Macaca mulatta: one gene and its partners. Each later gene encodes a partner of the first gene's protein in a complex. Links are inferred from orthologs where the notes say so. Each region holds a gene or a part of one and is shown in the gene's direction. Other genes may lie near its edges. The genes, in order: NR0B2, NR5A2 and NR5A1.

Region 1 (10,679 bases):
TATTATTACTATTATTATTATTATTATTATTTTGAGACAGGATCTCATTCTGTTGCCCAGTCTGGAGTGCAGTGGCACGATCTCGGCTCACTGCAACCTCTGCCTCCCGGGTTCAAGCTATCCTCCCGCTTCAGCCTCTCTAGTAGCTGGGACTACCATTGCATGCCACCACACCTGACTAATTTTTGTATTTTTAGAAGAGACAGAATTTCACCATGTTGGCCTGGCTGGTCTCGAACTCCTGACCTCAGTTGATCTGCCTGCCTTGATCTCCCAACGTGTTGGGGATTACAGGCATGAGCCACCATGCCTGGCCCGATTTTTATTTATTTATCTATTTTTAGTCAGGGTCTCATTCTGTTGCCCAGGCTAGAGTGGAGTTGCATGATCACAGCTCACTGCAGCCTTGCCCTCCTGGATTCAAGTGATCCTCCCACTTTAGCCTCTCGAGTAGCCGGAATTATAGGTGTGCACTACCTGCCTGGCTAATTTTTGTATTTTTTACAGAGATGGGGTTTCACCATGTTTCCCAAGCTGGCCTTGAACTCCTGGGTTCAAGCAGTTCACCCACTACAGCCCCCAAAGTATTCGGATTACAGGTGTGAGCCACCGCGTCTGACCAGTTCTTGGTTTTTTAGTATGATTCTAGTGCCTACTTCATGCTTTCTAAATATTATTTTCCACTAAAAGATTGAATCAGAGCTCTTTGGAGTACTGGTTGATTCCAGCGGCTGGAAAAGTTGATATCTTGTTATACAAGAAAGCAAATGTTCCAGGAATTATGGAAGCAGGCCAAAATGACATGGACCCCAGCTTAAAAGGGTTCCCATTGACCAAATAAATATAAATATTCAGGGTTTGGGGGGAGGTTTTGTGTGTGTGGGGAGGTTGTTTTGTTTTGTTTTTGTTTTTTAGACAGAGTCTTGCTCTGTCTAGAGCAAGGCAGGAGGGCAGTCGCACAGTCATAACTCACTGTAGCCTTGAAGTCCTGGGCTCAAACCATCTTCTTGCCTCAGCCTCTCAAGTAGTTAGGGCTACAGATATGCTCCACCACACTGGCTAATTTTTTTTGGTAGAGATGAGGTCTCACTGTGTTGGCCAGGCTGATCTTGAACTCCTGAAGCCTCAAGCGATCCTCCCACCTCAACTTCCCAAAGTGCTGGGATTACAGGCGTGAGCCACCGCGCCCGGCCGTGTATTCTTTTCTTAAAGAGGATCCTCCAAATTGTAACCGTCAGGCCCCATAAAACCAATATCCACCTCTAGATATTCTTGTCATCATTTAAAAAATGAGGAAACTGAGGCACAAAAAGAGAAAGTGATTTGCCCAAGGTCACTCAGCTAAGTGAAGAAGCAGGATTTGGACCCAGCCAGTCTGACTCGAGTCTGCTTCAAGGGGACACTGTGAAGATTCAGTGAGATTTAAAGACATGAAAGGAACTTTATAAATTTAAGGATTAAGACTAATAATCAAATGAAAGAGGTATGCCTGTTTGTCCACTGGTGCTCAGCTCCATAGAGGAAAGGGGCAGAAAAATCCTTCTACCATATGGCAGAAACTACTTGGAATTTAACAACCAGGACCTCATTTTGTCCCCATGGCAGCCCTAGAGGCAAGCATTATTGTCCCAGTGAGGCTCCTGAGGCTCATCGAGGTTCAAGGATCAACCCAAGTCACACAACTGAAAAGTGATGGATTCTGGAGCAGATGCCAGAGCTGGTGATGCCAGAGCCTCTCTCTCCCCATCCAGGGCACCAGGCTGCCCAACAGCATGCAGCAGAAGGTTTGCCACGCTGGACTGGCCAAGGTCCAGAAACATGACACAACCAAGGGCCTCTCCACCTTCTCTCATCCCCGGTGCTCTACCATCTGAGAAAGATGCCCGGGACAGAGGAGCCACATGGCAGCAGAGCAACATTTCTGCCTAGATCACAAGTAGGCAGAGCAGGCTGCAAAGCAGGCAGCAGCAAGGTGGGGGCAGCTAGCCACAAGCTCAGAGAATCTCAGGCTCTGGCTGTGCAATTGGGCCAATGGGTCCAGGGGAACAAACAAGGACTTTGGAGTCAGGCAAGATCTGGGCTTGGTCTTCCTGGTGGGATGACCTTGGGCAAGTCACTTTAACTTTTTTAGTCTCACAAAGTAAGAATCTAGCCTTAGAAGGAGGCTGCCAATATTAGAGTGGGAAGTGCCTGACACATAACAGGTGCTCAGAGAATGGCAACCATATATATATATATACACACACACACACACACACACACACACACATTTTTTTTTGAGACAGGGTCTTGCTCTGTTGCCCAGGCTGGAGTACAGTGGCATGATCTCAGCTCACTGCAACCTCTGCCTCCCAGTTTCAAGTGATTCTTTTGCCTCAGCCTCTAGGGTAGCTGGGACTACAGGCACATGCCACCATGCCCGGCTAATTTTTGTATTTTTAGTAGAGACAGGATTTTGCCATGTTGGCCAGGCTGGTCTTGAACTCCTGACCTCAAATGATCCCCCTTCCTCGGCCTCCCAAAGTGCTGGGATTACAGGCATGAGCCACCATGCCCAGCTGGCAACTATCTTTTATTATAACTCTGTGAGTTCTTCTCAGCAGAACTGGACTTTCAGGAGTGGTAGGAATCAGGCAGGGAAAGGCCGGGCGCGGTGGCTCAAGCCTGTAATCCCAGCACTTTGGGAGGCCGAGACGGGCGGATCACGAGGTCAGGAGATCGAGACCATCCTGGCTAACACGGTGAAACCCCGTCTCTACTAAAAAAAAGTACAAAAACTAGCCGGGCGAGGTGGCGGGCGCCTGTAGTCCCAGCTACTCGGGAGGCTGAGGCAGGAGAATGGCGTAAACCCGGGAGGTGGAGCTTGCAGTGAGCTGAGATCCGGCCACTGCACTCCAGCCTGGGCGACAGAGCAGACTCCGTCTCAAAAAAAAAAAAAAAAAAAAAAAGGAATCAGGCAGGGGATAGGGATTCTGAAGGACCTTATTCCTGCAGGGGGCCCAGAACTGAAACCAGAGGAAGGGGGCCTCCGAGACTGGACAGCGGGCAAAGTCCTCCCAGCCCCCCCAGGGTCCTGGCTCCCTTCCCTGTAGCCTGCTCCTGGCCGACAACAGAAGCAGGGCCCCAAGGTTAGGCAAACAAGCTAGTGATAAGGCACTTCCAGGTCGGGCCTTGCATTCAAGGCCCACCCAGCTCTGGGGCTGACTTCCTGGCTTAGCGAAAGCGCTAGTCTTTTGTGCACACAAGAGCAGGCACCAATGGGGACACCTGCTGATTGTGCACCTGGGGCCTTGGTGCCCTGGTACAACCTGGGTTAATGACCTTGTTTATCCACTTGAGTCATCCGATAAGGGGCAGCTGAGTGAGCGGCAGGTGGCCCTGTGCCCTGCACCGGCCACTTCATTGACTGAAGTGATATCAGTGCCACGTGGGGTTCCCAATGCCCCCTCCCCCACCACTTCCCCACCATTCCTGCCAGGGGCAGTGTCTGTGTGTTTTTTTCAATGAACATGACTTCTGGAGTCAAGGTTGTCGGGCCATTCCCCCCCTTCCACTCACTGGGAATATAAATAGCACCCACGGCGCAGAACAGAGGGCCAGAGAGCTGGAAGTAAGGGCAGATCCCAACCATGAGCACCAGCCAACCAGGGGCCTGCCCATGCCAGGGAGCTGCAAGCCGCCCAGCCATTCTCTACGCACTTCTGAGCTCCAGCCTCAGGGCTGTCCCCCGACCCCGTAGCCGCTGCCTATGTAGGCAGCACCGGCCCGTCCAGCTATGTGCACCTCATCGCACCTGCCGGGAGGCCTTGGATGTTCTGGCCAAGACAGTGGCCTTCCTCAGGAACCTGCCATCCTTCTGGCAGCTGCCTCCCCAGGACCAGCGGCGGCTGCTGCAGGGTTGCTGGGGCCCCCTCTTCCTGCTTGGGTTGGCCCAAGATGCTGTGACCTTTGAAGTGGCTGAGGCCCCGGTGCCCAGCATACTCAAGAAGATTCTACTGGAGGAGCCCAGCAGCAGTGGAGGCAGTGGCCAGCCGCCAGACAGACCCCAGCCCTCCCTGGCTGCAGTGCAGTGGCTTCAGTGCTGTCTGGAGTCCTTCTGGGGCCTGGAGCTGAGCCCCAAGGAATATGCCTGCCTGAAAGGGACCATCCTCTTCAACCCTGGTGAGCTCCCAGACACTCCTGGGTAGGGGGCAAGGCTGAAGCAGGAGCCAGCCAGGGAAGGTAACTTCTAAGGGTTTGATATCTGTAATCTCATGGGGTCCACATTTTCTTTTTTTTTTTTTTTCTGAGACAGAGTCTCACTCTGTCACCTACTCTGGAGCGCAATGGCGCGATCTTGGCTCACTGCAACCTCTGCCTCCTGGGTTCAAGCAATTTTCCCTGCCTCAGCCTCCCAAGTAGCTGGGATTACAGGTGCCCGCCACCACTCCCGGCTAATTTTTGTATTTTTTAGTAGAGACGGGGTTTCGCCATGTTGGTCAAGCTGGTCTTGAACTCCTGATCCCTCTGGTGATCCACCCACCTTGGCCTCCCAAAGTGCTGGATTACAGGCGTGAGCCACTGTGCTTGGCCGGTTCCTCATTTTCATCAAATAGCCATCTCACAGAAGAGGTACAGAGAAGCTAAGTGACGAGCTAAAGGTAACACAGCCAGGTAGGGACAGACCAGGATGGCAACTCAGGTCTATTCACTCCAGAGACTGGCCCTTGCCACTCTGCCTGAGAAATTTGCTCTGACCTTTAGAGAAGGCTGCGGGGGAGGTGGGGTGGGCAGACACAGCTGTGTCTCAGTCACATCTTCAAAGGAAGGCTGCATGGTGAAGCTCTAGAGCTGAAACTCCTCTGTGGGTTCAGAAAGATCACTTAGAAGAGAGAACTGAAAGGGGTGTAGGGAGGACAGGAAGGGAGTCTTTGTGGAATTTGGCCAGGAGAGTGGCAGATGAGACAGTGCTCTTTGTAATCTGGAGAGCATCTGAGATGAGCGTTCCCCAGGAGTCCCTGTGGCACGCATAAATCGTAGTAGTTAATTGCAATAATAGTAGCAAATACTCATATCACACTTACCATATGTTAGGCCCTATTCTAAGGGTTTTACATATACTAGTTCATTTAAATCTCATAAAAACCTAGGAGACAGGTCCTATTAATATTATTATCCTCGTTTTACAAATAAAGAAACTGAAGCCCAGAGATTAAGTTACTTGCCCAAGGTCACCCAGCTAAGTGACAGTACTGGGATTCATACTCAGGAAACCTGATTCTTAACCATTACTCCATACTGCCTCTTCATAAATGGATGGATGAATACAATGGAAATTGATAAATAAATTACCTCCTCCAAAGGAGGAGGTAGTAGTGGGACCTCAAAGGCCGAGCAAAGGAGGCAGAGGGGTGTCTCTGATGGCCCAGATCTTGGGCCAGTCTCTTCCTTTGGTGGCTGGGAGTAGGATGCTCACCAACCCTCTTCTCCCTCTCTGCCCACAGATGTGCCAGGCCTCCAAGCCGCCTCCCACATTGGGCACCTGCAGCAGGAGGCTCACTGGGCGCTGTGTGAAGTCCTGGAGCCCTGGTGCCCAGCAGCCCAAGGCCGCCTGGCCCGTGTCCTCCTCACAGCCTCCACCCTCAAGTCCATTCCGACCAGCCTGCTTGGGGACCTCTTTTTTCGCCCTATCATTGGAGATGTTGACATCGCTGGCCTTCTTGGGGACATGCTCTTGCTGAGGTGACCAGCTGCAGCCCAGGCAGAGATCAGGTGGGCAGAGGCTGGCAGTGCTGATTCAGCCTGGCCATCCCCAGAGGTGACCCAATGCTCCCGGAGGGGGCAAGGCTGTATAGACAGCACTTGGCTCCTTAGGAACAGCCCTTCACTCAGCCACACCCCACATTGGACTTCCTTGGTTTGGACACAGTGCTCCAGCTGCCTGGAAGGCTCTTGGTGGTCCCCACAGCCTCTGGGCCAAGACTCCTGTCCCTTGTTGGGATGGGAATGAAAGCTTAAGCTGCTCATTGGACCAGAAGTCCTACTGACTTTATACAGAACTGAATTAAGTTATTGATTTTTGTAATAAAAGGTATGAAACACTTGGAGCCTGATACTGTTGTTTGTGCATATAGAAGGGACTGTCTCACCTCCAGGGCCCACCCTGCTCCTATCAGAGGTAGCCCAAGGGAAAAAATCCACAGGGTTGCTGGAACTAATTTTCCAGGGAACAGTATCAGTTCACAATCCCATCACCTCATTGCCTTTATCCTCAGGGGAAGGAGGTTGCTCTCCTGTTCCCAAACCCTTCACTAACCACTCTCCTGGCTCCTACCCACTTCATGCGCCCTCTCACCACAGTTAAAGCCCAATCACAGCCAATCAGGAAGCAGTCCATTCCCGAATTGAAACAGACAAGGTCACTGCCATTTCTGCAGTTTAAGATCATTCACTTCCCCCATTCCTGCAGATGACAAAAGACGGTGGTCCATTATTTTCCCAAAGGGAAGGGACAAGGGCACCCAGGGCTGGCCTGGCAACTACTTGAACGCCAAGGCAGAGCAAGGTTTAGCTGGACCACCAGGATTTGACTACATCAGTTGTTTAAGTCTGAAACCCTTCCAGGACACTTGGATCATAGCCACCACCCTGAGGCCTCCCAACTTTCCTTCCCTGCCCCTCTGCCCCAGCCCCTCTCCTGGGATTCTCCTCCCAGACATTCCCACTGTCTAACAACTAAAGAGGCAACTCTTGGCATAGCCATGACCTCCCTGACTGCTCCATTCAGAATATGACTTGTGTCTATTCTGATTGGTCAATGTCTGTGCCTCACTGTTTGTTAAATATTTTGACCCAGTCGCCATGGGTAAGGGTGAGTGACCTGAAGGGTGGGCAGGAAGGAGTGATAACAACACACATGCCTATAGGATTTTCTGGCCTCCCCCTTTCGCCAGCGGTAAGTCCTGCCCTGACCAGTCCCCACCCCCTTCACCATAACAGTTTGGATTCTTCTCACAGGTGCCCAGTTAATGATTGCTCAATAAGAGGCCATTCACTTGGGGATAAGAGTCTAGGTGTCATCATTCAGGCCTTTCTCTAAGCCCCCCAGGTTAGGACGACAGCTGATTGGCCTCGTACCCATTATGGTGACCCAGTGCCAGCAGCAAGGGGAACCCTGTCCCTTGCCCAGCCTCTCACTCACAAGTCAGACACCAGATAGAGACAAAAACACAGCTGAGATCTCACACAAATACAAACAACACAACTTGGACCCCCCCAATACACACACACACTAAGATGTACAACTCAGGCACGCCTACACAGACCCAGAACACAGACTCTCCAACCACCCACTTACAGCCCAGAAAAGCACTGCCCAGATACAGTCACTCAGCAACGTACTGCAGACCCTGACACAGTCACACAGCACAAGTACGCACCCTTGCACCTGAGGGTAGGGCACACAGTGTGGAGACACCCCCATCCAGAGTGTGTTCATCTTCCCCATGTCACAGGAAAGGGAAAAGTGGCCCCCTAAGTAGGCAGACCTGTGTCTGCACATCTTCAGGGTCCTCTCAGAGCCTGTGAGCCCAGGCCAACTGCTCTGCCTGGCATTTGGGACCCCAACTAACCATTCATCCTCTTTCCCCGTGGTGACTTCAATGTCCATCCTCCTCTCAGCTCAACAACTGTCCCCAGCTGGGACCAAATCAAATCCCCAATAAAGGCATCCTTCAGGGCCCAGAACAAGTCCTGCATCCCCCCATCTCCCACCAGATGCCCCAAACTCAGACCTCAGGCTCCCGGGCCTCTCTCTACCTGCCCTCCCCATCCCTCTGGCACACATCACCCTGTGTAACCTTGTAGACGCATGAAACCGCTCTTTCAAGAGCAGAAGCCCTGTTTCCCACATAGGACCCAAATCCAGAAGATTCAGGGATTTAGGGTCATTCTTTTTTTTTTTTTTTTTTTTTTTGGAGACGGAGTCTCGCTCTGTCGCCCAGGCTGGAGTGCAGTGGCGCGATCTCGGCTCACTGCAAGCTCCGCCTCCCGGGTTCACGCCATTCTCCTGCCTCAGCCTCCCGAGTAGCTGGGACTACAGGCGCCCACAACCGCGCCCGGCTAATTTTTTGTAATTTTTAGTAGAGACGGGGTTTCACCGTGGTCTCGATCTCCTGACCTTGTGATCCGCCCGCCTCGGCCTCCCAAAGTGCTGGGATTACAGGCGTGAGCCACCGTGCCTGGCCCGATTTAGGGTCATTCTACATCTTTTATGCCCTGCCAGTTTCTGCCTCTATTAATTAACTGCCACACCTCTCTGAATCCTCCCACCTCTGAAAAAAGCTGGATCTTCCCACCTCTTACCCTTCCCCTTCTCTAGCCCTGAACAACCATTAGGAAGCATTCCCTGCCATGCCCCACCCTAGGCTTTTTTCCTCAACTTATTTAATTTTTTCCGTCATCCAAATAGCTTCCCTTATTAAGTCTACCTTGCCAGGCACTACTGGTGGCTCATGCCTGTAATCCCAGCACTTTGGGAGGCTGAGGTGATAGGATCGCTTGAGCCCAGGAGTTCAAGATCAGCCTGGGCAATGTAGTGAGATTCCTGTCTCTACAAAAAATTATAAAATTAGCTAGGGGCCAGGCACGGTGGCTCACACCTATAATCCCAGCACTTTTGGAGGCCAAGACAAGCGGATCACCTGAGGTTGGGAGCTCAAGACCAGTCTGGCCAACAATGGTGAAACCCTGTCTCTACTAAAAATACAAAAATTAGCTAGGCATGGCAACACTCGCCTGTAATTCCAGCTACTTGGGAGGCTGAGACAGGAGAATCAGTTGAACCTGGGAGGCAGAGGTTGCAGTGAGCCGAGATCGCACCACTGCACTCCAGCCTGGGCGACAGAGTGAGACTCTATCTCAAAAAAATTAAAAAATAAGGCCGGGGGGATCACAAGGTCAGGGGTTCAAGACCAGCCTGGCCAAGATGGTGAAACCCCGTCTCTACTAAAACTACAAAAATTAGCCAGGTGTGGTGGCAGATGTCTGTAATCCCAGCTACTCCAGAGTCTGCGGCAGGGAAACCGCTTGAACTGGAGCAGCAGAGGTTGCAGTGAGTCGAGATTGCACCACTGCACTCCAGGCTGGGTGACAGAGTAAGACTCTGTCTCAAAAATATAAATAAAATAAAATAAGCTAGGTATGGTGGCTCATGCCTGTAGTCCTGGCCACTCGAGAGGCTGAAGTGGGAGGATTACTTGAGCTGGGAGTTGGAGGCTGCAGTGAGCATGGTAGCATCACTGCACTGCAGCCTGGGCAACAGAGCAAGACCCTGTCTCAAAACAAATAAAAAAAACAACAAGAAAAATCTCTACCTTGATCCTTTTCAAATTTCTTCCCTACCAGTCCACATGGTTTGGGAGCTACACTTCTGTTTCTTGTCTGCATTTCTTGAGTCATTCCCCGTGCCCTACTTCCTTGCCTTGAGCAAAGAACATAAAGACAAATACGGCAAAACTAAAGAGATAATTATGGTACAATGTAGTAAGGGGAATTGTGCTTTCTCCATGAGACTGTAGGCTTTCCAAAAGTGGGGAAGAATGTCTCCATGATCAGCATCCTGGGTTGGGATCTGTATCTCATTGCTAATGAGGGAAGAGGAGGAAACAGGCTCAGATGGGTATGTAACTTAAGGTCTGGGCTGATCACTGTCTGTGCTGAGACTCTTTTTTTTTTTCAGACGGAGTTTCGCTCTTGTTGCCCAGGCTGGAGTGCAGTGGTGCGATCTCCGCTCACTGCAACCTCCACCTCCCGGGTTCAAGCGGTTCTCCTGCCTCAGCCTCCCGAGTAGCTGGGATTAAGGCGCCCACCACCAAGCCTGGCTAATTTTTGTATTTTCAGTAGAGACAGGGTTTCATCATGTTGGCTAGGCTGGTCTCAAACTCCTGACCTCAGTGATCCACCCACCTCAGCCTCCCAAAGTGCTGGGATTACAGGCGTGAGCCACCGCACCTGGCCTGTGCCGAGACTTGTACTCAAACCTGTGTAATTCTGGAGGGTTCTTGTCAGCAGCACAAGCTGGAGTGAGTCATGGCCAGGATCAGGCGGTCTGGAGCCAGTTCAGCCACTGTTGACTGACCATCTACCTCTCAGCCATGATTCCTGTCCTCAGGCCCAGCCAGGGATGACTCACTGGAAAGCAGGAGAGTGGCTATGGCTCTGGGTCAGCCTAGAGAACCATTTTATTGCCATCATTATCTCTATCTTCATTAGCCAAATCGTTGACTGCCTATTAAGCAGTAAGACAGCTGACGCATGCTGTGCCCTGCATTAACCCCACCCTGTCCTTGGGGCATTCAAATATCCTAGAACCCGTGATGCTGGCAAAAAGCCAACACCCACTATCCATCCATTAATTCATTCTATCACTCAACATCTCTCAACCTCCACTTGTACCAACCCCTGTGCTAGATGCTGGGGTAGGGGGCACAGAATAAATAAGATACATTTCTTACTCTCATGAAACACCTTGTCTGTGGCAGAGGAAGACACATAAGTAATTGTAATGCAGAGTGATCTGAGCTGTGATAGGGGTACAGACAACAGGCAACAGGACAGATTAAATCTGCCTCAAGGTGGGAAAAATGCTTCACCCAAGTGGTGACTGGTTTGAGCTAAAGAGAACAAATAGGGTTTTGCTA
Region 2 (10,867 bases), about 160 Mb from region 1:
ATTTTTACTTATGAGGAATTCAAGGCTTAAAAAAAAGCCAAGCATTACTTTGCCACCGAGAAGGGGGCAAAGCACAAATGGAAGCCCTGAGCTTTCTGACCTCAAATCCTAGGCTCTTAACCACCCTGCTACCCTGCCTTCATTCTTACCATGATCTCATGATTTGTGCTTATATAGGCTGCATTCAGCAACCAAAACTGAGTGGTTTCCTCAGGAAAACAGTTAGAGCTATAACCAGTGCATTGAGAGGATCTGATGGACAATGTAATTTTATGGACTGAATGATATGAAAGGCCTCAAGAAATATGTATCCAACACTTTGGCATGTGTAAAAGAAGACCTACGTATTTCAAAGCAGTTACAGATGCAAAATATATCCATAGAAATATATGTTCCATATACTTGGAAGGCAGAGGCAGGAGAATCGCTTGAGCCCAGGAGTTTGAGACCAACCTGGGTAACATGGTGATACACTGTCCCTACAAAAAAATACAAAAATTAGCTGGGTGCAGTGGCTCACATCTGTAATCCCAGCACTTTGGGAGGCCGGGGCGGGTGGATCACCTGAGGTCAGGAGTTTGAGACCATCCTGGCCAACATGGTGAAACCTCATCTTTACTAAAAATACAAAAATCAGCTGGGCATGGTGGCATGTACCTGTAATCCCAGCTACTAGGGGGACTGAGGCAGGAGGATCACTTGAACCCGGGAGGTGGAGGTTGCCGTGAACCGAGATCGTGTCACTGCACTCCAGTCTGGGTGACAGAGTGAGACTCTGTCAAGAAAGAAAGAAAGAAAAGCGAAACAAGGAAACAAGGAAGGAAGGAAGGAAGGAAGGGAGGGAGGGAGGGAGGGAGGGAGGGAGGGAGGAAGGTCCTTTCTGGGTTTCCATCTAAAATCAAAGAAGAAATCATTGTTTTCAATAACAATATTTTAAAATCCACCGTATAACTTTTTTTTCTTTAAAAGAAAAATATCGATCTAAGAAAATAATACCTAACATGGTGTTAATGAAAAGTAGGATGGATTGTTTATGTGTACATAAGAACTTAAAGTTCAAAGGAAAAACAGCATGCATATCAGCAAGTTGACCTGGCTCCGCTGACAGCCAGGATTACCAGTTATTTCACTTGGTGTGTACCAGTGCCACTTGGAAACTACCCACCTTCCATGAGCAGGTCTACTCAACCAAATCTTACTTTCATGAGACTGTGAGGATATACAACTGGGGACATTTCTTATACTCAGAGGACCACAAGTCATGGCTGTGGCCACTTCTGATTCTGACTTCAGGGGTCACCCAGACCCCAAGCCACCCAAACCTGATAAAGGCAAGTTGATCTTGGGCAAGGTTCAGAGCCAGCAGCACAGCTGAAAGGTAGTGGAGAGCACTTTCAGATGCTATATTTCAACTGACATGAAGTGAAGCAAGAGGGGAAATAACTAACAATAATCTGAATAAAAAACAAAAGAAAAAAAAAAGGGCCAGATGTGGTGGCTTACACCTGTAATCCCAGCAGTTTGGGAGGCTGAGGCAGGTGAATCACCTGAGGTCAGGAGTTCGAGACCAGCCTGGCCAATGTGGCGAAACTCCGTCTCTACTAAAAATACAAAAATTAGCCGGGCATGGTGGCATGTACCTGTAATCCCAGCTACTAGCGAGACTGAGGCAGGAGGATCGCTTGAACCTGGTAGGCAGAGGTTGCAGTGAACCAAGATTGTGCCACTGTACTCCAGCCTGGGCAATGGAGTGAGACTCTGTCTCAAAAAAAAAAAGAAAAGAAAAAGGAAAAAAAATGACTGTCCTGGGTTTACAGGTAGCTCACACCTGTAATCCCAGCACTTTGGGAGGCTGAGGCAGGAGGATTGCTTGAGCCCAGGAGACCAATCTGGGCAATACAGCAATACACTGTCTCTACAAAAAATTTTAAAAATCAGCCAAGTGTAGTGATACACATCTGTAGTCCTAACTCAGGAGGCTAAGGCAGGAGGATTGCTTAAGTCCAGGAGTCTGAGGTTGGGTGAGCTATGACTATACGACTCCATTCCAGCCTGGGCTACAGAGTGAGATCCCATCTCTAAATAAATAAATAGACCATAAATTCTGTAAAGTGAATCTTTAGACAAAGACTACTAAATCCATCAAATGATATATGAAGTTTTGTTACAACAAATGTTTATATATTGAGTTAAAAATTATCTGTACACATACACACAACCTGCATTTACTTAGTTTAAAAGGAGTGTCAATATTAAAATTAGGGATTTTGGCCAATTTGGGTGCAGTGGCTCATGCCTGTAATTCCAGCACTTTGGGAGGCCGGGTAGATCATCTGAGGTCAGAAGTTTGAGACCAGACTGGCCAACCTGGTGAAAACCCGTCCCTACTAAAAATGCAAAAATTAGCCGGGCATGGTGGTTCGCCCCTGTTATCCCAGCTACTTGGGAGGCTGAGGCAGGAGAATTGCTTGAACCCGGGAGGCGGAGGCTGCAGTGAGCTGAGTTCATGCCACTGCACACCAGCCTGGGCGACAGAGTGAGACCCTGTCTCAAAAACAAAAATCATTTTTTGTTTTTTTGTTGTTGTTATTGTTTTTGAAGATGGAGTCTCACTCTGTCACCCAGGTTGGAGTGCAGTGGCACGATCTCAGATCGCCGCAACCTCTGCCTCCCAGGTTCAAGCAATTCTCCCGCCTCAGCCTCCCAAGTAGCTGGGATTACAGGGCTGCACCACCACGCCTGGCTAATTTTTGCATTTTTAGTAGAGATGGGGTTTCACCATGTTGGCCAGGCTGGTCTTGAACTCCTGACCTCAGGTGATCTGCCTGCCTTGGCTTCCCAAAGTGCTGGGATTACAGGTGTGAGTGACCATGCCCGGCCTAAGAATAATAACTTTATAATTATGAAAAATCTATTACATATTCATCAGTTTGCCAGCATTAATCTCAAAGCATAAGTTTTACTTTTTGGGGATAAAGAGATAGATTGTGTTTTAGCCATATGACCAATGTAGAAACAAGCTAAGGTTAACTCCTCATCTAATGAATAGGCCCGATAAAAAAGTTGGTTGACCACAACATGAATAAATAAATGACCATAAGCTTGGAAATGCTACCTCTAGTGTTTCAGAGTGTCGATCACATTTGTAGTCATCACTTAAAGAATTAATGTCTGCCAATGTTTTCATCTAAAATATATTTACAGAGGTCAGAAGAGCTATGTCCGTCCTCCTCTATGCAAAGAGGTGACGACATCAAGGGGTATGTCACAAGCCAAAGTTTAGTTAGACTAAGTTAGTTAGCTGGTTTGTAGTTTTATCCACTAAGTCTGATCTTCTGACCCCTCAGTTTTACAACTTTCCACTCTGTGCTGCACAGCACCTCTCCACTTCTGAGTTAATCATTTCTTTGCCATTATCTGGCAAGAATTCTTATCTCTTTTGCTGTCACTTTATAACAGGGTCCTCTTATCAACCTGCATAGAGTCATGTGATGAGTCAAAGCCTATCAAAAGTTTCCACTCTTCTGATTAGAAATCATCATGAAACTGGATACATGGTTTACAGCAGGTCACTAATGTTGGAAAAAGTACAGAGTCCAGGGAAAGACTTGCTTGTAACTTTATGAATTCTGGATTTTTTTTTCCCTTTGCTTTTTCTTAACTTTCACTAAGGGTTACCGTAGTCTGATGTGTCCTTCCCAAGGCCACGAAATTTGACAAGCTGCACTTTTCTTTTGCTCAATGATTTCTGCTTTAGGCCAAAGAACTGCCTATAATTTCACTAAGAATGTCTTCTAATTCGGATACTGGGGATTTACAAGAGTCTTTAAAGCACGGACTTACACCTATTGGTAAGTAGGAGTTGCTCTATTGATCATCTATTTATTCTGCTAGTACATACATATAATTTAATCTCATTGATGGATTTTGCATTTTAAGTCATGGCTTTTCCTATTATGTTTATTAAAAGCACATAATAAGCCCATGTATGTGTATCACACATTTATCTTTCTTGCAGTTCAAAAAAAGCAAATGAATATTTCAACATATGAATATTATTCATTATATCTAGTGTTTACTGGTGGCATTCTATTAGCCTAAACAGCGAGAAAATATAATTTATAATTTAACAATTTCAACTTTAATATTTGCTGATAATTTTAATCAGAAATAATAAGCTAAAATTTGAACAATTTGAAACAAGTTAATCATATTGACTGATCACTGATCAAACTTTAACAGATAGCTGTCAAGTATTTGTTACTTTTCAACCCACACAAAAGTATGGTGTCTCATTCTCTGCTTATACTGTAAAAACTTTTCATTTTATCTTCCTGGGGAATGAAAGCCATGCCCCCCCGCCAAAAAATAAAACCCAAAAAACTAGACCATCACTAATAAAGGATTTGAAGTTAAGAGCTACTGTTTTTTTTTTTTTTTTTTGCAACAATTAGTATATTTTGTTTTTACAAACAGAAATAAGTAAATAAAGCTACTTTTCATTTAAAAAATAGAGTTACAAACTTGTGAATTTTATAGCAAGACTACATTCAATTAATCCTAAAAGTAAAGGACTAAAGGGAAGTGATTCTCAGTGGTCTGTAATTGTCTGTTGGAAGTCATGCCCTTCTGCCTTTCCCCCGGTTTTTGAAGGACCTGTGTCTTTTCTGGTAGCATTTTCCTAGGCTTTCGGACTGGAACTTCCCTCCGAATTTGCAGGGGCCTGTCATGAGCTCTGAGTCTCAGCTCCATTGTAACAAGAAAGAAAAACCCAGGCTTGAGTTTTTCCTCTTTTTTCCTTCCGAGTCAGCTGACTCCACAGAATGCAGTGATTGCTTTTTTTTATGGGCCAACTACACCCTAAAGTATATCACTTGAGGAAATGTTTACCAAAAATGTTCTATACTTACGAAAAAGAAAACACGGGGAAGGCAAGCAGGGTGTAACACACAATCAATTGTTCTGCAGATAACACAGAAAATACAGGCACAAGAAAGATGAGAGAGAAGCACAAAACGATTTCGCATCTTTTTCGTCGGTCTGAACCGCCGCGGTGTGCAGGCGAGGAGTCCTTCCCGGCAGCTCCGCGCAGCTCCCGCTCCGTGGCGAGGGCCGCAGCTAGAGCGCGCTCGGGCGGGAGACGCGGACTGAGCGCGCACGGGGGACGCGCGCTCGGGGGCTCGCGCCCGCGCGGGCGGTCTTGGGCTCTTGCCGCGCGCAGCCCCAGCTGGTCGCTGCCAAAATAGAGTTGAGCTGGGTCGGGAGACCACACACGCCGATCCCCCGCTGTCTCCCCCAGACCCCAAGGGTGAATTAAAGAGGGTAAGGTAGGGGAAGGAGACGCTGTTGCACTTCTCTCTGCAACCCGGGAAGAACTGTATTTCCACCGACCGCACCCGCAACTCACATAGCAAGGAACCGAGGCGGGTACACGCTGAGCGTAAACAGAGAACACCTGCAGCTTTGGAATCCGTCCCACCGCAGAGGGCTGGGAACCGGAGGACTGTCGGTCCAGCCCATGAGAGGCTGCTGGGGACTAAGCCTCAAGAAAAGTACCGAAGAAGGCTCTCCCCTGGCCTCAGCGAGCCTACCCCAACATCCTAAACCTGTGCAGGCACTTCCGGGCGCCGGATTCCGGGATAACAAAATTCCAGTTTCCGGTAAAAGAGACCTCTTTCAGGATCTTATTCGCAGCCACCCGCCCCTTCCCAACTCAAGCACACCCCCTCCGCCTCCTGGTATTGCAGCCCCGCAGGTGGTTGTGAGGTGTCCGCATCTGCAACATCTTAGTGACCCCGAGGCGACTTTGGCACCGAGAGATCGTCTGTTTAACCTCGTAGCCTCCAGGAGGGTGCTGACCGTCGTTCCCAGGGTGAATGGCTGGACAGAGCCATCCAAAGGGCTGAGGCAGAGGAAGAGAGGGCGGTGAGGAGCCATCAGACTGAACTGTTGCATTGAAGGGCCTGACCCGATTCCTGAAGGAGAGATGCTCTTTGAATGGGTCTTTCTGATTTGCCCAGGGCAGCCCCACTGGGAAGAACCCACGGGTGCAGCTGTAGAGAGTGACTGAGGGTCTCGAGAGTAGCTTTCAGATGGCAAATTGCAAGTTGGGTTGTGTTGAGTCGTTCACAAAACTGAGCCCGGTGTATGTAGACATCAGTCAGGGTTTACAATTCTACATTTAATTCAGTTGTGTTGTACTAGGAAATGGGCCTCGTTTTATTTAAAAAGCGACTCCATGGTTTTTAACTAGGGACTACATCTTGTATGCACACTGATGGTTACATGAAAGTTTTGTGTAGATGTCTGTGCTTGTATAGAAAAGCAGAATTGAGATAAAGTTGTTCCTTCTGCCTACCTGCAAGATAATCATTCAATGTAGTGTAAGAGCAGCACGCTCAGGTTATAACTAGATTGCTCCCTTAAAGTTAACTAACTCTGGGACGCTGGTCAAACTCTTGGTTTCTCGTCTCTGTTTTCTTCTTTCTCCCAGATAGGATGATTCTATTGAATAATATGCAGTACTAACTTTAGAGGCTTTTTATATTTACCTATATTAAGAAAAGAGCCTTATCTGTGTGGTAGGAAATATGTTATACATGAAACAAGTATTTATTGACAACTCCCACAATGTGCCCAATATTGTGCTTTGATTCATATTAAATTTCCATAATTCTTCAAATTAACTGCATTTGCAGAATATTTTATGCATTCATTATAATATTGCATATTATCCACAGAAGGTTATGTCTGCATACTTAGGGGTACATGATACACAGTGCAAACACTGTATTGAGTCTGTAATATGAGGCTTGCTATCTGGTCCCCTGAACACTCTGAGTCTGATTTTATTTCAGTGATAACCTCCACCAAGCTCTGCGCTCATAAGGATCTCTGAAAGTAGACGTCATCAGTGGAAAGTGTGATAGCCGTTATGTCACCCTAACCTCCAGCCAGCTTTATTTAGAATGCTAACCACCCAAGCCCATGTTCTGATTCTCGCAGCTCAGGCTTAGGCTGCCAGTTTCTTCTGGGAAGCTAAACTCCGGAGCCTCCCTTCTTTCCATGCCCCCGCCCATCTCCAAAACAGCGCTTCTCAGATTCCTCTTTTCTGGCCTGGATCCACAGGTTGTGACCAGAGTTAAAAGAGTTCTTAGGCCAGGCACAGTGTCTCAAACTGGTAATCCCAACACTTTGGGAGACTGAGGCTGGAGTATCACTTGAGCCCAGGAGATCGAGACCAGCCTAGGCAACATAGAACCAGTCTCTACAAAAAAAAAAAAAATTAGCTGTGTGTGGTTGTGGTGGCATGTGTCTGTAGTCCCAGTGACTAGGGCTTGGGTGTGGAGGTTGGAAGATCACTTGAGCCAGGGAGGTCGAGGATGCTGTGATTATGCCTTGAACTCCAGCCTGGGTAACAAAGTGAGACCCTATCTCAAAAAAAAAAAGGGAATTTTTTTTTTTTTTTTTTTTTTTTTTTTTGAGGCATAGTTTCACTCTTGTTGCCCAAGCTGGAGTGCAATGGCATGATCTTGGCTCACTGCAACCTCAGCCTCCTGGGATTCAAGCAATTCTCCTGCTTCAGCCTCCCGAGCAGCTGGGATTACAGGTGCATGCCACCACGCCTGGCTAATTTTTTGTATTTTTAGAAGAAATGGGGTTTCACCATGTTATCCAGGCCGGTCTCGAACTCCTGACCTCAAGTGATCCACCCGCCTCGGCCTCTCAAAGTGCTGGGATTACAGGCGTGAGCCACTGCACCCGGCATCTTTAACACCTCTTCTAATAAACCAAGAGAGATTTATAGAGGAACGGAGAACAGAGGCTTGTTAATGCTTCTCTCCTTTACTTGACCCCTCCACCAGACACAATGTCTAGGATTATCTTGGATTCAGCCTTGAACATGAGCTGAGCTAGAGAAGGGCATGTTGTCAGACTTCCACCTACAGGCCAACCCAATCCCCACCCCCAGGGATGCACTAGGCAGGCAAGACAACTTCACTCTACAGGTCTAGAGTCTACCTTAGGATAAAGCTAGTTCTTTGAGTTGCACTTCTTCACGCTTCACCTTATTGGAAGACACTTCTCAGATAAATCCAGTTAGCTTCAAGGAACTTCAGGAGTTTGGAGGGCATTGTGCTCTGGGGAGGCCCTGGGGAAGAGTTGAAATATGACCGATATGATCTGGAGAGGTCAAGCTTGAGAAAACCATGTGAACTAAAACTGACCAGGCCAGTTGATAAAGGTTGCCTCTTCTTTAGTCTTTTGGGAAGCTGTTATGTATGTTTTTGTGTGGTTGCTAAGTAAGAAAAGATATTTGGAGTTTAACTTTTAAACACCAAATAACCTGAATGCAGATGACCATGAGCACTTACATGAGCAGTTTTATCTGGTGATAAATGTAATTGTCTCCAAGGACTTTGTCAAGTCCTGCAAGACAATCAAGTTAACAAGCACATCCCACTGGAAGGTGGTCCTAGAATGGTTAGTGATTCCCTTTTTAGTTTTCTTACAGAATGATGAGTTTGAGTGAAGCTAAGGGGAAAGCAGGACAAAGGGGAACTGAGATGTGTGTGTGTGTGTGTGTGTGTGTGTGTGTATCTCCAGCATAGTATATTTCTTTCCTGGCACTATCTCATTTAACTATAAAGCTTACTTTGTTAACCCAATTTTACTGATTTAAAGAATGGAATCAGAGGTCAAGTAATTTACTCAGCTTGTCAAGAGAATGAACTGTAAACAGAGCCCAAGAAATATTCTGAAATACATACTCTTTCTCCAAGGTAGTAACTACTTGTTCTTGTTGATATAAAGGAATTATGATTTAATACAATGTTGGTCTATGTAAACTTTCCTCCAAGAGACATTTCGAGCTTAAGAAACACATTTATAAGTGGCTTTTTAATCTTCCTTTCCATTCTACAGTAGAAATCAGATTTGGATCCTTCTAGAATTCAGAAGGGTGGCATAGGGAGTAGTGTATGGAGAGCAGAGTGGAAATCGCATCTGGGAGGACTGAGATTTGAGTGGGGTGGGATGAAGGCACTTCTGGTCCCCTACTCTGGAGTTTCCTGGAAAGGATCTCTGGAGTTTGGATGAAGTTTAGCTTGTGAATTTGTGGTGTATGGTAGCAACTCGCAGGGCTGCCAACAGACGGTGAGAAGGACCTGAGAGGAAATTCAGAGCATGTACTTGTTATAGAGTCAGTGGATATGAGGAGGGCAGGGAAATCACTCAAATTGAGTGACTGAATTAGATAGCATAAACAAACATACTGTTGTCCCATGAAAGAAGGGGATAGGGAAAGACAATTTAGGTGTCAATTTTTTTTAAAAAAAAGCACTTTTGACAAACCTAGCTGTGCCTCCTGCAGCGAGATAGGCTAGTCCCACACCCATGGTAGCATTTTTCACGGTAAGTGCTGGATTCCTTGCTCAGGGTTTGGATGCCTGCAGCCTCTGCTTCCTGGCCCCCTGCAAGCTTCACCTGCTCCAGCGGCCTCTACAGGAATGGAAAGAAAATTGGTCGGAATCCACTGCTTGGTCCTGGAATCAACTTCCCAGTTTCCAGACAAGAAACTCCGGAGAAAACAAGTGAATCTCTCTCAAGCCTTGGCACACACTGTACGCCATCTCTTAATCGCAAAAGTTGTCTCCATGTTGGAAGAGCCCACCCCCTTCTAATTGTGCAACCTCTGTAACTGCCCAGACCGTAACACTTTCCCTAGTTCCACGCTCCATGCTTGAGTGTGACGGTACCACTGTTAAGTCTTGCCTTTCCAAGCTCCCATTTTCTTTGTTAACCAAGTGAGATCCAAATTGCTGGACCCCGCACCCTGCGGTCCCTGCACTCTTTGACGTTAAGAATCAGAAGCTCGTAGCTCAGGCAGGGGCTTTTCTGAAGGAAGAGGTTTGGTTGGATTCATCCCCTCGCTGCAAAAGCCAAGGAATTCTGAAGCAATGCAGGACGTTACCCCTTCCATCAAGAAGTTTCCAGTATCGCCGGATACATTTAAATGGCAGCCTAGAATAATCTCGTGCTAAGGATTTTGTTCCTGACCCAGGTTGAGGCGGAGGAGAGGGTGTAAAGGAGGCAACTTCACGTGTTCAGCTAGTTTCACAAGGTGCTTTGTGGCCTGCTAGCGCCGGGATCGTCGTTCTGTTGGCCCCCAGGCTGGACAGGATTGGTTCCAATGGATGGAGTCTCAATAGTTTTGAACTGGAGCTGGCTCAAATTTCCATTTCAATTACAGAGAGGAAGAGATAGATTAGACTGGACCACCTACCCAAGATTATTTCCCCTGCCCCGCTCTTTTCTCAAGACCAGATCTCCCTGTTACACTCTTCTGAGGGAATCGACTATACCCTGGTGGGGCGCGCCAGGACCCTTGGTTTGGGACAACATGCTGCAAAGAAAATAAGTGAAAAGGTTCTTCAGTGAACTCTTTTCATACAAAGAGCCGTAGATTCCGATATCCAGGCCAAACTCTCCAAAAACCCCTCCTTTCCTTTGGGGCAAGGGTGGGAGGTTGCCTGGGGGGTGGGTGGGGTAGGTTGGATTACCCAGATAATTGCTTTGGCTTTCGTTTTCCTCTGCGATAAAAACCGCGCCACGCCAGATCAAGATATTCTCATAGTGATTGTGAATCAATCGCCATCCTCCTGCTCTAGGGGCTGATGTTGACGTCTTAAGTAGTTATTTACACGTGCAGCAGAAAGGCTTTTTTTTTTTTAAACGAGGCACGACTACTCACCTATTCACGTTTGCTTTTTTAAAGCTTCGGTCAACACGACGCTCCCTGGTAATTACTTTGGCTGTACTGAAATTTAACCCGTCCCTTTTTAATACAAAGCGCTCGGGATGCGGG
Region 3 (10,205 bases), on another chromosome or scaffold:
GAAGTTCTTTTCCACTGGTCCAGTGGGCCCTGGGCTGGTGTCTCTTTGCAAAGCCCAGAGGTGAGGAGGCAGAAAAGTGGGAGGGGAGTGTGTGACTCTGGTGTCCCTTCTGGCTGATCATTCATTTCCCCACCTCCAGACAGGGCACATCTTAGCAGACAGAAGAGGGGGCTCTCTGGCTCTGAGAGTGGAGCAACCCTTGGGCTGGACACTGGGGACATTAAAATCATCTGGACCCAGGAAGCTGCCAACCTGGAGGAGAAGTCAGACATGTACCGAGATAATGCCAGTGTGAGGTGCCCAGGGCTCTGAGAGCCACAGAAGAGGCAGAGGGAACCCCGGGGGGAGAGCAAACAGCTCTAAGGAAGTCAAAGAACAGTTCTGTGCCTTTCTAGAAAGTAGAGAAGGTTCAGGGGATTCCAGGCAGTGGGCACAGCAGAGGCAAAGGCCCCAAAATGTGAAGAGGCATCGTGTTCTGGGAGTTCCAATGGGCCTGTGAAGCAGGGCTGGAGATGTTGGCAGGGCCAGAGCAGAGCTTGGACCAGGAGTGGGTCCTTGGGCAGTGGGTGATGGATGGCCTGTTGGGGCTGGCTGGGGCTCCAGGTTCTGGGTCGGGGAGGGGCTCCCCTGACAGAGCCTGGACTCTGAGCAGAGGCCCACTCAGCCCTCTGATGCTGATGACATCTTGCTGCTCGGGAGGAGTCCTGGAGTCTCAGCTGAGCTCTCAGGGGTGCCAGGGACCCAGTTGTGTCTGATGCTGGGCTCTAAATGCCCTCTTGGGATCTTCCTCCCATATCTTCTTTCCCAACTGGGATGGGGGTCCCTCTGTCTCCATTTTTCCATCGCACACAATCCCAGCATGTTAGATCCAATAGTGGCACAGAAGTGACTATCAAAGACTAGAATCAGAGAGGCCTATTGTCAACTTCCAGCTCTGTCGCTTACATGCTGTATGATTTTGGGCAAGTGACTTCACTCCTCTGGGCCTCAGTTTCCTCATCTTGAAAATGGGAGGAGTTGAAATAATGTCCACCCATTGGGCTGTTGTAAGGGGTTAGTGAGCCAGGACAGGGGAAGGACTGAGCGCGGGCAGTTTACGAAGTGAGGTCGCAGCGTCCTTCCTCTCTTCCCCTTAGCCACACTGTTTAATGCAGGCCTGGGCGGGGAAGCAGCAGGGAGAGACACATTGGACCCAAGCTCCTCTGAGCGCACGATTGTTCCGGGACCGTCTTGGGGCCACTTTGTCCTGCGCTTATAAAGCAACTTTTTCCCTGCAAGGTGGCAGAAACTCACCTGTACCTGCTGCTTGGTGGGCAGCAGTGTCCAGGGCCCAGGCAGTCAGCCTGTATGATCACTTACCGCAAAGGACAGGCTGGGAGGATGCAAGGCAGGACCCGGGGGGGCGGTGGGGGCCAGGAGTGCCCAGTGACCCATCTTGACATCTGTTCACCCTCAACATCCAGCTCCGAGGCCCCCACTGACAGCAGATTTAACTGCCCAGATAGACGGTTTCATTTAAGCGGCAGTAACTGTCAGTCTTGGGCTGACAAATGACACCTCACTGACCACTCGGCCGGCAGAGCACGGCGGCCAGCCCACGGTGTGTCAGCCACCAGAGAATTACACAGCCTGCCGGCCTTCACAGCCAGACCGATCGGACCCCAGGGGGCTCCAGAGGGGCCCTGCTGGGAGGGAGGTCAGCTTGGCACCCATAAATACGTGGTCTTCGAGGCAGCCTGCAGAGCGCCAAGGCTCCAGGAAGATTTGTGGCAGTCTGGCAGGAGGGATGGATGGCTGATGGGCCCAGCAGACAGGCCATGCTGGTGGAGACCCCAGGGCTGGGGCTGCAAATGTCCTTGTTCCCAGGGTGGCAAGGAGGCCTGAGGGTAGAGGAGCCTTTAGCGTAGGGAGGGACCTTCGGAAAGTGAAAACCAACCCTCTCTGGTTAAAGGAACCTCTTAGCCACCTGCTTTCTCATGCAGAGGGTCTGGCAGCTATGGCCCTGTGGTTTTCTTTTAAATAAAAAGAGGGGTGTGTGTATGTGTGTGCATGCGTGCGTGCGCGTTCTTATCTGTGTGGGGAGTGTTTTGGAGTTTGGTGTCTTTGTGCATCCATCTGTCCACCCAAGGAAAGCAGTGAGTCAAGACCTGCTTGGCCAAGGGGCAGGTGGGATCCCAGCCAGGGAGCATCCACGGAAGAACCAACAGCAGGTCCACCAGTTCCCACACAGCCCAACGTGTGTTCTTACGTTTTAACCAAAAAAAAGAGAAATTATATTTCCTTCTTCCCAGAACAGGAAATTAGGGTGGAGGATGCATGGTGGACAATGCATGGCTGGATGGGGACTCGAACACAGGGCATGGGGCACCAAAGCCTCAGGGACAATATTGTGGCTCTCTGCCCCTGGCACCCCTATCAGCCCCACCGGGCAGGCCTGCCCCATCCAGGGTCTAAGGTCTGGGTACAGAGTCTGCTCCCAGGGCTGGGCCAGCCGGGTCACCGTGACCCATCTGCTTTTGGCCTGAAGCGTGGCTTATCTCCTCATTCTACCCCTTATCGCTCCTCCGCCACCTCCCCACCCCCTTGTGCCTTCATTCTGGGCGCAAGGGTGTCTGCTCCTGTGGGCCTGCGAGGGGTGGGGTGCCAAGCCTGGCCCTGTGCGACCACCTGGGTACCCAAGGTGGGCCTGAGTTTTTCCTGCTGCCAGTGTGACACCTGGGCAGGCCCCTCCTATCCGGGTCTCAGGAGGTTCCCAGGGTCCCCAGAAGTCCTGGCCGGTAGGAACCTCTGGGCAGAGCCCAGCTGCCTGAAGCCTGAGTGTCACCTCCGGCAAGGCTGTGTTTCCTTATCTGTAATGTGGGCAGAATGTCAGCAGGGCAGGGGTGAGGTGTCCTGTACCGCACTGGGCACCGTGTCTGGTAATAGGTGCTCTCTGAGCCTTGGCTCCCTCCTGGAAACCGCAGCTCCATGGGGGCCGGCACTTCCGTGGAGAGATCCGGAGAGATGGCTGAGTCAGCCCCTGCCCAGGCCTCAGTCTCTCCTGGACCCAGCCAGGACTGAGCCTGGGGGCCCATGGTAGGGGCTCTGGAAAGAAACTTTTGCTGGGAGCCGGAGGGAGCTCTGGACCCAGAGGTGAGATGGGGATGGAGGGAACGGACATAGACCTCCCTCTTCTCCACCACGTGGGCCCGCAGGCCGGTCTGTGTGCCAATTCCTGACTTTTCCCTCTCCTTTTCTCCCCCTCTGTCTGCCTGAGGACACAGGCCCCAGGGAGGCCCCAGGAGAGAAGGGGAACAGAGAGGAGGGGGGAGGCTTCTATCTCCTGTTCATTAGGCTTGGGCCAGCTCCCCTCTGACTGGGAGCCACCCCTAGGTGGGGAGTGGCCCCTCTGAGCCCCTGGCCCCAGGTGGGGAGTGATCCCTCTGCACTCTGTGCTTGTCTTGGGGAGAACCTTGCCATTCATCAGCCACTCTAACCTCTGCTCTGGGGCCCAGAGAAGAGCCGGACACCAGTTCTGCCTCCCCAGATCTCACAGGTATTGGCGAAGGCAGAGGCATTTAACTGATGCCATGAGATGTTGCAGATTCTGCATCCAGAGAGTGGGGAGGGCCTCGAGGAAGGAGAGGGATGAGGTAGGGATTTGTAGAGGAGGCAAAGAGCCTGCGAGAGACCAGGAACTCCTGGATGGCAAGGCGGGTGAGTGACAGGTCCTCTTCCACAGCTAGTGGTTAAGAGCGCAGATCTGGAACCAGACAGAGCTGTGTGGCCTCTCTGTTCAGTTTCTTCTCTCTGTCATGCGGGTGGTGACTGGACAAACCTCGCAGGGCTGTAGGGCTGCGGTGGAATGACTGTTCGCTGTCATGGTTTGCATTCGTCAGAGGGCACGGCCCAGGAAGGTGCGCCGGAAGTGTCTGTTGGGTCGCTGGTGGCCAGCTGAGGAGTGGCACAGGCTAAGAGGGATGGGGCTATGTCTGCCCAGGCCCATGTGCAGTGCTCAGTGTGCTTCCGAATACCCAGAAGGGCTCGTTTTGTCACAGTGGAGATTGTGGACCAGGAATGCCAGCCGTGGCCCTGGCCTGGTCCTGCCTCTGTGTGATCCTGGGAGAGTCTCTTGTCCTCTTCGGGTGGCATATTCTTCAGTTGAAAAATAGGGATTGGGGCCAGGGGATCCCTGGCTCTGCTTCTGAGTCCTGCAGAGTCAAAGGACACTCCAAACAGGGGCTGGCCCTGCCCCTGCACCGAGTGCCTCTGGCTGCAGCCTGGGCATTCGGAATTGCCCCTTGTCGCTGTTCGTTTCTGCTTCAGGTGCCAGGCCATTGCCGCCCCCCTGCTCATGCCCTGGGCCTGACCGCAGGCCAGGTGGGACCTCCCTCCTTCTCCTGAGCCTGAGAGCTCTGCGTAGGCCTGGGGGGAAGCGCTTGGTTTCTTCCTCATGGCTTCTGTCTGAGCAGTTGGGGCTGCCAGAGGTGTAACTGACCACAGGTTTTTAAATGCGGACAATGTTAAAATTAATAATAATCTTGCCATGCATTTGTAGGAGTCCTTTGCAGAGTACCTCCATGGACATTAGTCACATGTATGGCGTACCTAACATGTACCGGACTGTCCGCTCAGTACTTTGCCCACTGTACAGATGAGAAAACTGAGGCACAGAAGATTACCAGGACTTATGTAAAGTCATACCGAAGACAGAGCTGGGGCCTGAAGCCTGGCCCATTCAAGCCCCAAACACCCCTTTGTTAACTGGCCAGACCCCTGTTGCACTTTGATAGCACAGACATTCGGGTAGATGGGCACAGAGAGGTTAACTCGCCCCGGCCGCACGCCCAGTTGGGTCTCAGTGGGAGGAGAAGGGGTTAGAAGAAGGTGGCTGGACCTGGACCCTGGCTGGAGCCCGGCCCCCCGCGTGCCTCTTCCTTCCAGGTTGCCGACCAGATGACACTGCTGCAGAACTGCTGGAGCGAGCTGCTGGTGTTCGACCACATCTACCGCCAGGTCCAGCACGGCAAGGAGGGCAGCATCCTGCTGGTCACCGGGCAGGAGGTGACCAGCCCCTGGGACCCCGCCCCGCCCCTGGGCCCCGCCCCGGCCCCGCTGTGCACTTCCAGGATTCAGGGCCTCGGAGAGGAGGACCCAGGCCTCTTGGGGCTCACTCTGGGCACCCTGATTATCAGCCCTTTCCCCACATTCATGGGGCACCCACTGGTCTGACCCCTCTGCGAGCAGCCCTGGTCCAGGCTTGAGAGGCGCCGGCTGCTGGGAGCCCTGCTCTTGGGGAGCAGCTCAGGGGGTGTGGGCATGGTCAGAAGAGGTTCATGGAGGAGGATGTGATGGTGGCCCTGGGTCTGGAAATAATCCACTGGAGTTGGCTGGGGTGAGGGGGGCAGTCCTCACCTCCACCACAGGCTCAGAGAGGGTGGAAGCGTGGAGCCCCCAGGCCCTGCTGGTGCTGGTATGGGGTGGCATGAGGTGACAGACCAGGGAGGCTGGAGGGTTGCTAGGGCTGAGTTAGCGGACAAAACCTTGCAGGCCCTAAATCTTGAATGAATGAATGAATGAATGAATGAATGAATGAATGAATAGGCAAAGGGCTCCTGAGAGCTCAGAGAATTTGGGCCCCTTAGAGCAGGAAATGAGGATCTGGGAAGTAGAAAGTCCAGATGCAGCAGGGGTCCAGGGAGAGCTTTAGGAGGAGGAGGGACATGGCCAGGTAGCATCTGAGGAGGCAGGCAGAGGGGTCAGATGGGAGGTGGGGGCCAGGGCGGGGACACAGGGACACAGCCAGGGAAGAGGACTCACCTGGGGAGACGGGCTGTAGGGAAAGAGAGGGAGGGAGAGAGGCAGAGAAGGGGGTTGATGGCAAGGGTCCAGCCTGCTGGCAGGAGCGTCACTCCCAGGTGGGGACACAGGAGGGACCGTGGGGTCGGTGGGTGCTGTGGGGTGGGGGAGACAGACTCTGCTCACTGCTCCAGCGCCCCTAGGCCTCTGCTCCTCACCTCCAGCTCTCGCCTTGGTGTCACAGGCCATCAGGGGCAGGAGGACAGGACGGGCAGCACTGGACCCAAGAGGGTATATCTGGGGCTCCCTGTGGGCGCAGGTGCCTGCAGTCTGCATGCGGTGTGAGTGTCGGCAGGCCGGCTGAGTCTCTGTGGCCATGGGAATGGCCTGTGTGTGTGTGCCTGCCTGTGTTTTATTGTGCAAAATCTCCACACACATCAGTGTGTGGGTGTCACTGTCTTCCCATCAACCCGTAATTGTGAACACATACATAGGCGTGTGTGTTGCTGTAAGTGTGAGCATACAAGGGCGGGTGTGGCCGTGTGCACATGTGTGTGCCTTCACTTCATGGAGTGGGCGACCCCATGACTGAGCTCGTGTGTGTGTGTGTGTGTGTGCACGCGCGCGTGAGACCCTGGGCTGAACTGTGACCCAGCATCTAGGTGTGAACGTAGGGGTTCTGGGCAGCCACGTGGATGGCGTCTGTGTGTCCCTGCGCAGGCCTGCCCTCCCCTGACCCCTTCCCTCCCAGCGTGTAGAGGGCCCCTCTGAACTGCTGGTGCTACTGGGCCTGGTGCTGGGGTTTGTGTGTGAAGGAGGGGTGGACGCGGGCAGGACGTGGGTACCCTCAGCTCTGGGCCTGGCGGGTTGAGGACAGCTTGGAAGGGTGGGCCCGGCAGGGTCCCCGGGGCTGCACAGGTGTCACCTGTGCCTGGCTCAGTGCCAAGGCTGGGCCCTCCTGACCCCAGCCCATCTGACCTGCACCTCCAATCCATGCCCTCAGCCCTCTATCCACCATCAGAGAGCCCCCTGCCTGGACCCACGTCCTCTGACTGTCCCCCACCCCGTGCCCTCTGTCCCCAGGTGGAGCTGACCACGGTGGCCACCCAGGCGGGCTCGCTGCTGCACAGCCTGGTGTTGCGGGCACAGGAACTAGTGCTGCAGCTGCTCGCGCTGCAGCTTGACCGGCAGGAGTTTGTCTGCCTCAAGTTCATCATCCTCTTCAGCCTGGGTGAGTGCGGCTCCAGTGACAGAGAGGCGGAGACAGCCAGGGGCAGGCGGGTGGGAGGGTGGGTGAGGCTGGAAAGGTAGCCCTGCTAGGGCCAGAGTGGCCACAAAGGAGCCTCAGGGGAGAAAGGCCCCTCCCTTACTCATTCAGTGAACAAAGGTCTGAGGGCCCCCGGCCAGGGCCTGGCTCTTAAATGGGGACGGCTCCCCATCTGGTGGCCCATGTGACTTTGGGATTGGTATTCCAGGCTCCTGGGGTCCCTGTTTTCTCTAATTCCTGGATCTAGGGGGCCCCAGTTCTGACTGTAGCTCCTGGGGGCCCGGACCCCTTTGCCCATGCACGCATGCATCCATTCATTCACTCTACAAACAGGCACCGAGCAATTGCACCGGAGAAGGCACTGGGAATACCGCTGTGAGCAAAACCCCCAAAGCCCAGCCGTCGTGATGCTGACCTTTCTAGGGGGGATCATGAGCATAATACGATTAGGAAGACGTAGGTTCCTAACACGATTAGGCAGGCATAGGGGGACAGCTGTGACCAGTGCTAAGGAGGAAAAGAAAGTGGAGGAGAGGCAGAGAGCAGTCCTGGCCCAGTGCAGCCCGGCCACCCACCCCACTCCCCAAGCACCTGGGGGGGTCTCCCTCCCTTTGCCCTCCTGACCCCAACCCTGCCTGGGCACTCCAGTCTGCACCCTCACTCCCTGGCAAGCCGTCACCAATGCCCTCCCCATACCCGGCGATGCTGAGGACATAGCTGTCCCTTGCCAATCGAGAAGAGACCTGCAGCCTGGGTGGTTAGGCCTGAGACAGAGAGATGGGTGTGGCTTGGGGAACCCTGGGTGGGGAGCAAGAGCTCTTTCTGGAAGGCTTCCTGGAAGACGGACATCTGAGCAGGGTTTTGGAGGATGAATAGGAGTTTTCTGGGGGATGAATTATTTTGCAGTGATGCAGATGCGATGGAATAGAGATGAGTGAGTGCTTCATCACCTGGAGAGGGGGCAGGATTAAGATATTGTCTTGGTGGCTGGCATTATAGTCACAGTCTGGGAAGGGCGTGCCTGCCAGAGAGAGGGAGGAGTGGGGAGTGTTGCGGAGGCAGAGGGGATTAATGAAAAGTGGGAAGCCCAGTGCTCGGGCGGGATTGGTGACATCCTCCATGCTATGCGGCTGGGTGCGGTGGGCTGGGTCTCCCAACTCTGGCAGAACAGGCTGGTAACTGGAGGGCTTATCTGCAAGGCCACCTTAAGCCACCTCTCAGGACACCAGCCAGGGCTCTGCAGGAGCTATGGCCTGAAATCCTTGCAGGAGCCTCAGGGGCCCAGACCCGGTTGGCTGCAGCTGGGGAAGTTCCCTCCTACCTCTGCCGGCAGCAGCACCTTACCCGCAGCCTGCCAGACTCAGCAGGCTGGCACAGGATAGAGTCACAGACATGCGTGGCGGGGGTCTGTGTGGTTGGGGCATGGAACCTGCAGGAATTACGCGAACGTCTGTCTCTGTTTCCGCGCATGTGTGTGTGCTGGCATGTGCAAACGACGAACTTTCACACGCTTGTGGTTTCTTAAGTGTTAGGCTGTGTGAAGAGTTTGTGTGTGATTGGGGAGGGACCAGGAGATCTGGGAACATGAGGGATTTGTGGCGGAGAGTGGTGCTTGGAGGCACCTAGAATTGGAGTGTGTGTCCGCAGGAGTCTGGGTGGTTTGTACGGTGAGAGTTCTTGACCTGGCTGCCATCACAAGGCCACTGGGAGGGCCCTAAGGAGGGGTGGGTGGAGGGTGGGCTCTGTCTGTCCTTGGGTGTCCCCTGAAAAGCAGGGACAGTGTCTTGGCCCCCAGCCCCTCTTCCCACCAAAGCCTTGGGCATAGCTCTGGCCGCCGCTGGGGGTGAATCCAGGACTCCTCCTTCTCTGGGGCTTAAGGAAGATGGCAGAGCTGATCCCTCCTCTCTTGGGTCCAAGTGTGGGCATGCTCAAAACTGGAAGTGCCCCGCCCTAATGTCGTGCTGGTCATCAGCTTTTTTTTTTTTCCAGATGCAGCAGCTGAGGCCTGAGAGGTGGGAGAGGCTCCAGTGCTGGGCTGGGACAGGCTGAGTTGCGGGGAGAAGTGTGTGTGTGTGCGCATGCGTGCTGTGTGTGTGAGAATCAAGGTGGCGCAGTGCTTAGGAAAGGGAACTAGGTAGGGATGAGGAGTGGATTCTAAATCTGGCCTCTGGTCTCTTTCTGGCTGTGTGCCCTTGGGCAAGTCACTCCCCTCTCTGAGCCTCTATTTCCCCATCTGTAGAGTGACCCTCCTACTAATCCCTAACTTGTTACAAGGATTGAGTAAGAGAATTCCCCAAAGTGCCCAGCGCTTGGCTGAGCCCTGGGAAGTATGTGCCAGAATTGTTTTAATCATAATCACCATTATTAAGTTAGTGTGCATATGCATAAGTGAATGAATGAAGTGAATGAATGTTCACAGTCTCTATCGTTATCACCGGCTGTGTGTCTGGCACAGTGCGTTATCTTTCCGCACAGGAACATGAGTCTGGCTGATGTGGGTGGGTGAGCCCTGAGCCCAGCAAGCCAGGAACCTGGTGAGGTTGGGGGTACCAGAGAAGGAACGGGAGGAGATTCCAGGACCCCAGCTGATGGCAAGCAGTGAGAAAGGGGTGTGGGGGGCCGCAGCGGCCTTTGGCTGGCCAGCTCCAGGTTGGAAGAGGAACCCCATCAGTTCAGTGTGATCAGGGTTGGGTCAGAGAGGAGAAACCAGCACCACCTGGCTATCAGGGAAGGCTTCTGGGGGGTGGGGGCTCTGAGCTGGGCTTAGCAGTATGAGTAAGAGCATTCTGGGTGAAAAAAAAAAAACAAGCGGCATTAATGGCTTTCCAGACTCAAGGAACAGCTTGTGCAAAGTTCCGGGAATCCTGAAAGTTCTGTGTGGCTGTAGGGGTGGGGACGGGGTGGGGAGGAGGCTGGCGAGGGGACAGGAGCTGAGCTGGGCAAAGCCTTGAATGCCAGGGCCTGGTACCTTGAACTTTCTCTTGGGAAGGACTTGAAGCAGCCAGCAACATGATGAAATTTGCATTTTATCAAGATCCTTCTAAGTGCAGCATGGGAAAAGGATGGCAGGCAGGCAGCCCAGAGCCCTGGCAGAGGCTAGACCTGGAGCTGGGCTGGAGCAGATTCCAGGGTCTGGAGCAGAGGGCTCCTCTCCTGATCC

The links.
Region 2: the proteins of NR0B2 (region 1) and NR5A2 are in contact, whole or in part, in a crystal structure (PDB 1YUC), measured with the Homo sapiens proteins. The link is inferred for Macaca mulatta from reciprocal best matches to the Homo sapiens genes NR0B2 and NR5A2. Residues at the interface, in NP_068804.1 of Homo sapiens: Arg17, Pro18, Ala19, Ile20, Leu21, Tyr22, Leu24, Leu25, Ser26, Ser27, Ser28; in NP_995582.1 of Homo sapiens: Phe354, Val357, Arg361, Phe366, Val371, Asp372, Gln374, Met375, Leu378, Gln379, Asn529, Asn530, Leu531, Glu534, Met535.
Region 3: the proteins of NR0B2 (region 1) and NR5A1 are in contact, whole or in part, in a crystal structure (PDB 1YMT), measured with the Mus musculus proteins. The link is inferred for Macaca mulatta from reciprocal best matches to the Homo sapiens genes NR0B2 and NR5A1. Residues at the interface, in NP_035980.1 of Mus musculus: Thr19, Ile20, Leu21, Tyr22, Leu24, Leu25, Ser26; in NP_001303616.1 of Mus musculus: Ile275, Val278, Arg282, Phe287, Val292, Gln295, Met296, Leu299, Gln300, Asn450, Leu452, Glu455, Met456.

The regions. Positions count from the first base shown.
Region 1 is NC_133406.1:214,065,600-214,076,278, forward strand, and holds NR0B2 (nuclear receptor subfamily 0 group B member 2), read left to right. Parts: upstream 1-3,568; 5' UTR 3,569-3,629; coding exon 3,630-4,161; intron 4,162-5,483; coding exon 5,484-5,725; 3' UTR 5,726-6,081; downstream 6,082-10,679. UniProt on the Homo sapiens protein: Transcriptional regulator that acts as a negative regulator of receptor-dependent signaling pathways. Specifically inhibits transactivation of the nuclear receptor with which it interacts.
Region 2 is NC_133406.1:57,679,385-57,690,251, forward strand, and holds the start of NR5A2 (nuclear receptor subfamily 5 group A member 2), read left to right. Parts: upstream 1-3,567; 5' UTR 3,568-3,787; coding exon 3,788-3,851; intron 3,852-10,867. UniProt on the Homo sapiens protein: Orphan nuclear receptor that binds DNA as a monomer to the 5'-TCAAGGCCA-3' sequence and controls expression of target genes: regulates key biological processes, such as early embryonic development, cholesterol and bile acid synthesis pathways, as well as liver and pancreas morphogenesis.
Region 3 is NC_133420.1:23,288,257-23,298,461, forward strand, and holds part of NR5A1 (steroidogenic factor 1), read left to right. Parts: intron 1-4,923; coding exon 4,924-5,043; intron 5,044-6,861; coding exon 6,862-7,009; intron 7,010-10,205. UniProt on the Homo sapiens protein: Transcriptional activator. Essential for sexual differentiation and formation of the primary steroidogenic tissues. Binds to the Ad4 site found in the promoter region of steroidogenic P450 genes such as CYP11A, CYP11B and CYP21B.